3 linked regions of the Oryctolagus cuniculus genome follow. The protein of the gene in region 1 interacts with the protein of each later gene in a pairwise test. Links are inferred from orthologs where the notes say so. Each region holds a gene or a part of one and is shown in the gene's direction. Other genes may lie near its edges.

Evidence for each region.
Region 2: the proteins of ADAMTSL4 (region 1) and CFAP206 interact in binary tests that used the Homo sapiens proteins (3 or more experiments, as listed by UniProt). The two-hybrid records come from large-scale screens. The link is inferred for Oryctolagus cuniculus from reciprocal best matches to the Homo sapiens genes ADAMTSL4 and CFAP206.
Region 3: the proteins of ADAMTSL4 (region 1) and NATD1 interact in binary tests that used the Homo sapiens proteins (3 or more experiments, as listed by UniProt). The two-hybrid records come from large-scale screens. The link is inferred for Oryctolagus cuniculus from reciprocal best matches to the Homo sapiens genes ADAMTSL4 and NATD1.

What each region holds. Positions count from the first base shown.
Region 1 is NC_091438.1:47,449,158-47,452,803, reverse strand, and holds part of ADAMTSL4 (ADAMTS-like protein 4), read left to right. Parts: coding exon 1-340; exon of another isoform or gene 341-540; coding exon 541-1,150; exon of another isoform or gene 1,151-1,380; coding exon 1,381-1,483; exon of another isoform or gene 1,484-1,945; intron 1,946-3,632; coding exon 3,633-3,646. UniProt on the Homo sapiens protein: Positive regulation of apoptosis. May facilitate FBN1 microfibril biogenesis.
Region 2 is NC_091436.1:85,115,441-85,119,086, reverse strand, and holds part of CFAP206 (cilia- and flagella-associated protein 206), read left to right. Parts: intron 1-1,551; coding exon 1,552-1,760; intron 1,761-3,646. UniProt on the Homo sapiens protein: Essential for sperm motility and is involved in the regulation of the beating frequency of motile cilia on the epithelial cells of the respiratory tract. Required for the establishment of radial spokes in sperm flagella.
Region 3 is NC_091448.1:65,885,523-65,889,268, forward strand, and holds the start of NATD1 (protein NATD1), read left to right. Parts: upstream 1-1,204; 5' UTR 1,205-1,406; coding exon 1,407-1,542; intron 1,543-3,746.

The sequences.
Region 1 (3,646 bases):
TGCTGTCTGGACACTCTCTACAGATGCCGCCAGAGGAGGGCCAGGGCCCTGAGGGGGTCTGGGGGCCTTGGGACCAGTGGTCCTCTTGCTCCCAGCCCTGTGGGGTGGGGGTACAGCGCCGGAGCCGGATATGCCAGCCCCGCCAGGACCTGCCTCCCCCTCCCCGGCCCCCAAGGCATCCAGAAGCCCAACTCCCCCGCGGTCAGGGCTCCAGACCCCACACCTTGGGAGAAACCCACCCCCTGTACAGGCCACAGCCACGGGGAAGGGGGGGCCCGCTTCGAGGTCCTGCTTCCCTGCCGGGCAGGGAGGACACACAGGAGGTGGCAGGAGCCCGCAGGTGAGGCTCTGCGGGAAGGGGCGGGCCTTGGGTGAGGGGCTGGGCTTGATGTGGAGGGAAGGGGAGCAAAGGACACGCGGCTTCCAGAGGCTTCTCTCGGGTGCCAGGAAGTGGAATGGGGAGACAGGCTCCGGGACAGCTGGAGCGTGCCCCGCGTGTCTGACTCATGTGTGTGACTCATGTCTGCCACACCTTCTCAGGTCCCGGGTCCGAGAGCCCATCAAGCCTGGGATGTTCGGCTATGGGAGAGTGCCCTTTGCCTTGCCGCTGCATCGCCACCGCAGGCACCCCCGGCGGCCGCCCCTGACTCCCGGGGCCGAGCTGCCCTCTGCACTGCCCCCCACAGAACTGCCTGCCCACACCTCATCCCTCCCGGCACACCCCACAGGGTCAGGGACTGTTCAGACCGAGGCTGCCCTGCCCCGAGCCAGGGCTGCCTCCTCGCAGCCGTCCCGTGGAGCCCAGGCCCCCCGCACTGAGCCCCTCTCGCCCACCCTCTCCGGGGAGAGTCGCCCCTTCCACCTGTCCCCTCAGCCAAGAATACCGAGCTCCCAGGGCTGGGCCCGCCCCCGGGAGCCAGGGAGACCCCCTGACCCTTTCCCCTCGGTCCCTCGGGGCTGGGGCCAGCAGAGCTGGGGGCCCTGGAGGCCTGGGGGGAGCCTCCGGGGGTCCCCCGCGGAGCCGAATGGCTGGCTGCCTCTGCTGAGCGACGGACCCCCCTCCAGTTCTCTCTGGAGCCTCTTTGCCCCCAGCAGCCCTGTCCCGCGATGTTCTGGGGAGACCGAGCAGCTGAGAGCCTGCAGCCAAGTGGTGAGTTCCTCACTGGACCTCACTGCCCAACTCAGCTTCCACTCTGTCCCCTTGATCTGGGGCGGGGCACTCAGCTTGTCTGACCCAGCAGGGCGGAGAAAGGCCCCGGCCTCTGACCTCCTTGGGGAAGGGGCCTTGGAAGTCTTCTGTGGACCCCTCCCCCCAGGCCCAGCCTTGGCCCTGAGCCCCATTTGCCTCCCTGACCCTGACTCCTTTGTCCCTCCCCGCAGCCCTGCCCGCCCGAGCAGCCAGACCCCAGGGCACTGCAGTGTGCTGCCTTCGACTCCCAGGAGTTCATGGGCCAGCTCTACCAGTGGGAGCCCTTCACCCAAGGTGAGTGCTCCGGCCCCTCCCCTGGGCAGGGGTCATGGGGTCAGCAAACACCAGTCACTCCCACCCTGGAAGATTTCCCGCCCTTCTCCTTCTCTGCGTCACCCAGGACAGAGGGGACTTGGCCCAGGCCTTGAGCTGCCAGATGGTGCTGACTGGTCTGCAGGGGGCTCGGGGAGGGAGGGAGAGCTGTCCAGAGGTGCCCTTTACATCCCAGGAACGGGGTGGCTATGACCCAAGAGATCCTGCCACCCGGCAGCAGGCTGGGCTGTGCTTACCGTGTCCTGCTCCCAGGGTACCGTCCACTTGGTTTAGGCCTGTGTCACCTTGACACCCAGATGAGACCTCCTGAGTTCAGTGCACACAATCACAGGTGTGGAAGCTCTCTCCTTGGTGGCCTCAGTGACCCCAAGTGACCTGAGCAGCTTATGTCCAGTGACCCAGCAGCCTCAGGGTGTCCCAGAGCTGGCATGAGGGAGATTTCAGAGTTAGTGCGAAAATGTCATTAAAAGATGTTTATTTTGGTACAAAATGATTTTGAAATTCATGCATAGTTTTTTTTTCTAACACATATTTCCTATGAGCTTTTTTCTTTTTTTTTTTTTTAAGATTTATTTATTTATTTGAAAGAGTTACAGACAGACAGAAAAAGAGAAATCTTCCATCCGCTGGTTCTCTCCCTAAATGTCCACAATTGCTGGAGCTGCGCTGATCCAAAGCCAGGAGCCAGGAGCCTCCTCCTGGTCTCCCATGCAGTGCAGGGGCCCAGGCACTTGGATCATCCTCTGCTGCTTTCAGGGAGAGGATCAGAAGTGGAGACGCTGGAACTGGAGCCGGCGCCCGTACGGGATGCCCGCGATACCCACTGTGCTGCAGCGCCGGCCCCTCCTGCTCTCTTTGTAGCGTGTCTCTTCCTTATCTACTAGAGAGGCACAGGGTATGGTGTTTGCAGAGGGAGACAGATACTCTTTTTTAAAAATAAACATATCTCTTTTTAAAAAATATTTTATTTATTTATTGATAGAGTTACAGATAGTGAGAGAGAGAGAAAGGTCTTCCGACTGTTGATTCACTCCCCAAATGGCTGCAATGGTTGGAGCTGTGCCGATCTGAAGCCAGGAGCTTCCTCCTGGTCTCCCACATGGGTGCAGGGGCCCAAGGACTCTCTCTCTCTCTCTCTTTTTTTAAAGATACATTTATTTGAAAGATAGAGTTATACAGAGGCAGAGGCAGAGAGATATTTTCTGTCCACTGGTTCTCTCCCCAAATGGCTGCAATTGCTGGAGCTGGACCGATCCATAGCCAGGAGCTTCTTCCAGGTCTCCCGTGTGGGTGCAGGGGCCCAAGGACTTAGGCTGTCTTCTGCTGTTTTCCCAGGCACATTAGCAGAGAGCTGGATTGGAAGTAGAGCAGCCAGGACTTGAACCGGTGACTGTAGGAGATGCTGGCGCTGCAGGCGGCAGCTTTATCCACTACACTGTAACACTGGCCCCAATGGGCATAGGTTCTTGTGATGTAAGAGTGTAGTAACCAGGGCCAGCACTGTGGCACAGCCGGTTAATGCCCTGGCCTGCAGCACCAGCATCCCATATGGGTGCCAGTTCCACGCCTGGCTGCTCCAGTTCTCATCCAGTTCCCTGCTAATGCACCTGGGAAAGCAGTGGAAGATGGCCCAAGTGCTTGGGCCCCTGCACCCACATGGGAGATCCAGGTGAAGCTCCTGACTCCTGGCTTCAGCCTGCCTGGCCCAGCCCTGGCCCTGGCGGCCTTTTGAGGAGTGAACCAGCAGATGGAAAACCTCTTTCTCTGTCCCTACGTCTCTAACTCTCTCCTTCAACTAAATACAATAATTTTTTTTTGTTTTAATGTATAGCCACCAAACTATACGGGATGGCCACATGGCAGGTGGTGGCTTAACCCGCTGTGCCACAGCGCTCCCTCCCAGGAGCTTTTTGAAGATCCTTCCTATGCATGGATTTCAACATTTTCTGCACCCCAGTAAACACCTTTCAACTCCACTTTGCCACAAACGTTTTCAGGGGCCTCCTGAGCAAAGCTTCTGCGGGGGCCCTGGGCCCTTTCCATCCGCTTCCCCTCCCGCCCACCCACCGCCCACCACCCACCACCCACCACCCTCCCGCCTCATCTCTAGTCCAGGGCTCCCAG
Region 2 (3,646 bases), on another chromosome or scaffold:
CTGGATTGGAAGAGGAGCAGCCGGGACTAGAACTTGCGCCCATATGGGATGCCGGCGCTTCAGGCCAGAGGGCTTTAACCCACTGTGCCACAGCACTGGCCTCTCCATCAGGTTCATTCTTTTATTTATTTATTTATTTACTTATTTTTGCAATTTGGATGTCATTTATTTATTTTTTATAGTTTTTAATTTTTATAAAGTGAGCAAATTTCGTGTATCATGTATTAGGTTAATTCTAATTCAATTTAATTTACATTTAAATTTAATTAATTTTAATTCTAATTAAAATTTAATGTGCTCAGTGAGGAAAATAACATACAACACACTACTTACATTTCATATTTCAGATTTTTGATTTTGACTATTTCTTAAGAACTACTAGTGGGGCCAGTATTGTAGCAAAATGGGTAAAGCCACCACCATCCAAAGCCAGGAGCCAGGTGCTTCTCCTGGTCTCCCATGCGGGTGCAGGGCCTAAACACTTGGGCCATCCTCCACTGCACTCCCTGGCCATAGCAGAGAGCTGGCCTGGAAGAGGGGCTATCGGGACAGAATCTGGCACCCCGACTGGGACTAGAACCCAGTGTGCTGGCGCCGCAAGGCGGAGGATTAGCCTATTGAGCCGCGGCGCTGGCCCCAACTACACTTCTGATTTCAGCCTCCTGCTAATGTACTGAGAGAGGCAACAGAAGATGACTCAAGTAATTGAGTCCCTGCCACCTCTGTGGGAGACCTGGCTTGAGTTCCTAGCTCCAATTTTCGCAAGAATTTGGGGAGGGAACCAGCAGATGGAAAATATCTGTCTACTTCTCTCTGTGGGTCTCTACCTTTCAAGTGAAATTTTAAAAATTAAAAACTGTTTTAAATCTCAAACTCCTATTCTTCATAAAGTTCCCTCCCTTTCCAGACTATTCTGAAAATTTTCAGCATCCAGAACTACTTAAGAAGCACACTTTTTTCTCTTTCATTTTTGCAAAGAAGATAGAGGGGCCGCCATTGTGGCGGAACAGGTGAAGCTGCTTGCAACGCTGGTATCAGAGTGCTGGCTCGGACCCAGGCTATTCTGCTTCTACTCCAGCTTCCTGCTCACGTGCTTGAGAAAATAGCAGAAGGTGGCCCATGTGTGTGGGCCCCTATCAGCCATGTGGAAGACTAGGATGGAGTTCTTTGTCCCTGGCTTCTGCCTGGACCAACCCTGACTGTTGAGGCCTTTTAAAGAAGAGAAGAGAAGGAGGGATCATGGCTTTTTTAGAGGCATGATATCAGCAATACATAATATCAGCGTCTACCTGTTGAAGAAATTCCTCTGTATTTTAGCGGCATGGCTGATCTGCTGTAACTTTTGGTCTTCATTCTGATATATCTTTAGTTTGGGCAGTTTTTAAATTATTCTTCATGGTGGAGGATCCATGAAATACATACCTGATTATTGTTAATCTGGGGAAAAAACTGGGCTCAATTTAATTGTGGAAAGATGACTAGTTGTAGATGTTCCCACCTTAATTCTTTTTAGACTCCTTAATGCCTGTCTTCTTGTACTCTGAAAAACAGTGCCAGCTATTCTACAGGAAGCAATCCCAGCCACCACTCACCATGTGGATTCTCAGCTTCAGATTGCCCAGAACTGGGCACACCGCTACACAGCCATCCTTGAGAAAGCAACAGATAATCCACTCGTGGCTATAGACCTTCAGCCATATAAATTGAAAGAAGCACTATATAATGTGCGACAATATGAGGTCTTTCTTCAAATCATTTTGGTGAGTTAATTTCATAATCTCTGGCCTTTTCTATATAATATAATAATCTTTTTATATATTGCAAGGCTAAACCATGAGAACCAGGTCACTAATTAAATTTATATTGCATTGAGGGGCCAGGAATTAAAATAGAAACAGGGAAGTTAGATTTTGATTTTAACAAAAATACCTTGGTGGCAACTGACTTTACAGCTGTTGATTTTCTTTGGAACTAGGTAGTATGATTGTTAACAGGCTATAGTAAAGCAGAGGTGTGTATGTGTACAAGAGTAGTGGTGTGTTTGTTTTAATTTGGAGCAAGTGTCTAACACATGTCTACAGGTAGTTGCAGTCAATTTTTCTGTGATTATTTGCTCTTGTTATAAGTATTAATAGAAGAAATTTTTATATCTGATGATTTTGGACCTAATGAATAAACCAAACAATATCCCAAAGAGTTGGAAAATAAAGTGATGATTATAAACTTTTTTTTTTATTATAAGCTTTTAAAAGCAGCAGTGCACTTTGTTTCAGATAGAAGCCAAGGATCCTGAAAACATAAAGCAGCTATCTCAATGAAGGGGTTAGTGGACCTTTACTAAGGAATATTCCCCATGCCCCTCCAGCATTCCAGGAACATAGTTTGATAATGACTGTGTAACAGTACACTGTGCTCCCTCCAGTCACTGCTTACCTTTAAAAAGCCTCTACTTTCCAGTAGCAGTGAGACTCGGGGTCAGTGGAACTGTCTTGTGTGTGAATGAGTACTGATTTCTCGATGGAGACTTGATTCTACTTCTGGATGCACTTGCTCAGTCCTCTGATTACCTCGCCGAAAGAATAAAGAGATAAACGTCCTCATGACATGACTTCATTGGACAGACTAGGGGTGATCCTCATAAAGGGGCTACTAATTGCCTTCAGAAGGAAGGACCTTAAGTCAACTATCCAAAACCAAATCCTGTAATACTGACCTGTGGCTCCCAGTCTTACGTAACTAGTCAGATACTGGGAGGATTTAATAATCAGTTTATCATGAATTTATATGGGCCCACAGGAGCAGAACCTTCTATTCCTTTTTGTAATCTCCACTCAGAATATTACAAGGGACGCCGGTGCCGCGGCTCACTAGGCTAATCCTCCGCTTGCGGCACTGGCACACGGGGTTCTAGTCCCGGTCGGGGCGCCAGATTCTGTCCCGGTTGCTCCTCTTCCAGTCCAACTCTCTGCTATGGCCCAGGAGTGCAGTGGAGGATGGCCCAAGTGCTTGGGCCCTGCACCCGCATGGGAGACCAGGAGAAGCACCTGGCTCCTGCCATTGGATCAGTGTGGTGCGCCGGCCGCAGCGCACCGGCCGTGGCGGCCATTGGAGGGTGAACCAACGGAAAAGGAAGACCTTTCTCTCTGTCTTTCTCTCTCACTGTCCACTCTGCCTATTAAAAAAAAAAAAAAAAGAATATTACAAGGGAAAAAATTCCTGGGAAACTGTCAAATATTCTGTAAGCATGTTGCAGAGGATGTCATTTATTATATAGTACCTTCTCATAGTTTTCAAGCATGAATCATACTCAATGAACTAGCTTACAGTCTTAACTTCTCATTGGCATCCCACCTCGCACAGCTAGAAGGACAATGAGTAGAGTGTAGAAATATCAGTGGGGGTTCTAATCCTGACTTTGCTACTTAATCAATATATGTCTAAGGAAATTGCTTAACTTCCCTGTTGCTGGGTTTCCACATCTATAGACTGGGGTTGTTAAGAATCTCTACCATATAAACAAGGGAGAACAGTGCCTGACTTATGACAGTGGGAGCTCAGTAAGCTCACGATGATCACGATGATCACGATGAGAACCATCATCATCATGGCTAGAGCCTAACCAGAACAGTTCTGATTCCATTTTGGT
Region 3 (3,746 bases), on another chromosome or scaffold:
CCCCAGAGGAGGTGTTGTTTGGGCAGGTGCAAAAGCCCAGAGGCGGAGAAACCAGTGTAGTGTTTGGTCTCCCCATCCCCACCACACTCAGAATTGGGGGCTGAGGGAGGCACAATGGGGGCCACCGCGGGCACGGATCTGGGGTCTCCGCCAAGACTAAACGCACCCCAGTCAGAAGACTGGGAATCCAGCCCAGGAGCCACCCATGAGCTACGAGCCACCCGGGTCGCCCACGGGGTTTTTAAACCAACCACCTGGCCGGCGCCGCGGCTCACTAGGCTAATTCTCCGCCTTGCGGCACCGGCACACCGGGTTCTATTCCCGGTCGGGGCGCCGGATTCTGTCCCGGTTGCCCCTCTTCCAGGCCAGCTCTGCTGTGGCCAGGGAGTGCAGTGGAGGATGGCCCAAGTGCTTGGGCCCTGCACCCCATGGGAGACCAGGATAAGCACCTGGCTCCAGCCTTCAGATAGGCACAGTGCACCCGCCGCAGCGCGCTGGCCGTGGCGACCATTGGAGGGTGAACCAACGGCAAAAGGAAGACCTTTCTCTCTGTCTCTCTCTCCCTGTCCACTCTGCCTGTCAAAAATAAATAAATAAATAAATAAAATAAAATAAACCAACCACCTACCCCTCCAGGCACTAGCAGGAGCTGGAGCTCCCTGCCAGGTGCCGTCATATGGGATGCAGGGGTCCCCCTGGTGTGCTGACCACCATGTCACCTCCATGTCCAGGTCTACAGAGACCCTCTCCGGAACAGGCATCCATAAAACAACAAGGTGGCGATAAATGTTCGCTCACGACAAGGGTGCCCAAGAAAGTACCAGCAGACGCCTGCGCTGAGTGGCAGGGCTGAAATAAAGCCCCCTACCTCCAGGGCTCCCTGGGCAAAATGGCGCCACGCGCCCCTGCCGGCCCCAGACTCCTGAGAACTTGGGTGCATACAGCAGGCGCCTAATAAATAAATGCTGGCTGCCTTGGAGGACGATCAGAATTTCCCTCCAAGTTGGGGTGGGGGAGGGTGTCCATATTTATTTTATTTATTTATTTATTTTAAGAAAGCGCGCGAGGTGGGGGAGCAGCCGGCGCGTTGTTTTGTTTGGGGCTGCGAGCGGCACGCGGCCCGCGAGGCGCGCGGCCCCTTTAAGAGCCGACAGGAATGTATCAAAACAAAAAGGCCGCGCGCCCATTGGCTGCGCGCCGCACGTGACCGCACAGCTGATTTCCTGGCCGCCCCCCTCCCCGACACACAGACACTCAGACACAGAGACCCCGCGGCCCCGACGCCCCCCGCCGTCTCTTTTTTGTGCGTGTGTGTGGCCGCCGCCCGCGCGCCCCCGGCCGCCCCGCCGCCCCGCCGCCGCCCCGCAGCCGCCCCGCCGCCGCCCGCGCCCGCGGCCCGCGCGCAGATGGCGCACTCGGCGGCCACCGCCACCGCCGCCGCCGCCGCCGCCGCCGCCGCGCCGCCGGGCGCGCTGGAGCAGGGCTGCCCCATCCGCGTGGAGCACGACCGGCAGCGCCGCCAGTTCACCGTCCGGCTCAACGGTAACGCGCCGCGCGCCCCCGCCTTTTGTTTGCGCAGCCCCGGGGGAGAGGCGTCGCGGCCGCGCGGGGTGGGCCGGGGCCGGGGCCGGGGAGGGGGTGGGGGCGCGCGCGGGTCCCCGGCCTTGGCCGCGCGCCCCGCACCTGCCCCGGGCCGGGCCGGGCCGTCTTGGCGTCTCCGGGGGCGCACTGGGGCTGACCGCCCCCACCGGCCTGCCCCTGCCCCAGCGGCTCTGAGGTTTGGGCTGGGTGCCTCGCCCCGCCCCCCGTGCCTTAGTTTCTCCCCCAGCACCCCCGGGGAGCGTTGTCCGTCCAGGATCCGGGCTGGTGCTGCGCGTGGCAGCAGTTTCCTGGAGAGAACTTTTATACCAGCCCACACCCGCCCTCTCTCTAGGGGCAGACAGAATTAGGATTCCGGGACCAGGCCCTCCCTGTACGCCCCCCCCCCAACGCCCCCCAAGGCTGTTCCAGCGAGGAGAGCTCCCAAGGGTTACTGTACCCATTTCTGAGCCAGGAAGGCAAAGGCCCAGGTAAAGGAGACACTTGTCTCAAGTCAGCTAGTCAGTTGGGGCTAATGAGTTGGAGTTGGCCCCCACCCGCGCTTGACCCAGGTTGGCCAAGGTCAGGAGGGGCCCAGCCGCCCCGCAGGACACCCCCCCCCAGCCCCATTTGGGCTGTGCTGGGCACCAGGCCCACCCGCATTTGGGCTGTGCTGGGCACCGGGTCAAGCCACGGCTTCCAGCCGGACCACAGGACAGCCCTGCAGGTCTGCCCAGCCACAGTTCCCATCTTGCCTCTTTCTGGGACCTGCCTCCTGGCAGGGCGGAAGCTGGGTGTTTGGGGAACCAGTGTGTTGTTTGCATCTGGCCTCCTTGGAACCCTGCAGGGGAGGAAGGGCCTTGTCCCTGTGGCTCTGGGTGTCTGTGTGTGTGTGTGTGTCCGTGTCCTGGCTGTCCCCGGTGGCAGAGCTAGGCTGATTCTCTTCCTGCGAGCTCTGTGTCTGGATGAGGGAAGATGTTTGAGCAGCTGCATTTATTGAGCACTTGCTGTATCCCTGGAGAGACACCGGAAACCCCTCTCCTGGTTCCCAAAGGAGACGTGCAGGGACTTGCCCTGGGACTTTGCCCCTCCCATGTGGGAAAACCGAGATCGCATGCCCCAAGGATGTGCTGAGCACTGCTCTTCTAGGTGCTGGGGGAGTGGGGAGGTTCCAGGGGACAGCAGATGGAGCGAATTGTCGAATGTGTCTTGGAAAACCAGGACCCCGGGGGCTAGGTGGGGAGAATGTGGCAGGGCGCAGGGGTCCCGGAAGACGGTGAGAAACAGAGCAACAGCAGGGGAGTGGTCCAGGTGGAGGGAGCAGCAAGCGCAAAGGCCCTGTGGTGCTCAGAGCAGCAGGAGATGGAGGCACGGAGAGAGGAGATTGGGCCGTGGAGGGCACAGATGGTGCAGGGCTCACAGGTGTGAACCCCGGGGAACCTGGCCTTGGCTCTGGGTGACACGGGCTCCCAGGAAGGTCCTGAGCAGAGGCTGCGCAGGAAGCAAGACTACGGCGGGCAGGATGGAGCTGGAAGGTGGCTACTGCACAGGTCCGAGCAGTTGAGCACAGGGTTGACTGACCCCAGGTCTGCTCTGTAAGGGGCAGCTTTCCATTCTACAGCCAGGAAAACAAAGGCAAGAGAGGTGGCTGAGCCTGAAGAGAGGTCCCGCCTCCATCAGAGGAGGGCTGTCACCTGCAGGCTGTGGCCCCGCCCCCTCCCCATGATCCCTCCGGCAGTCTTCCTCCTCCCCCTCCCCCCAGTCAGGGCTGAGATCCCAGCATGCTCAGTGAGGGCTGGGGCTGGGAGTCCCTTCCCGCTGGTCCTGCCTGCCTGCCTGCTGGCTGTGTCAGGCCACGTCAGGCCATGGCCCTGCAGGGAGTGGCCTGTGGCCACCCCTAAGCCACCCGCGTCCCCCCCCCAAACCAAGCTGTGCACCTGCAGGCAGCCCAGAGAGGCCCTCCCCCCACACCTGCTCCTGCACCTGCTTGTGGGTGGTCGCACGCCTCCACTCCCTGAGACCTGGTTCTGGCCGGGCCCCTGCCTCAGTCTGCTCATCTGTGGACGCCCTGACCCCACACCGGGCTGAGGAAGCCTCTGGGGAAGTGACACTGGGGCTCACCTGGAGCGACAAAGGAAGGGTTCCCCGCCCCGTGGTCCTGGGCACAC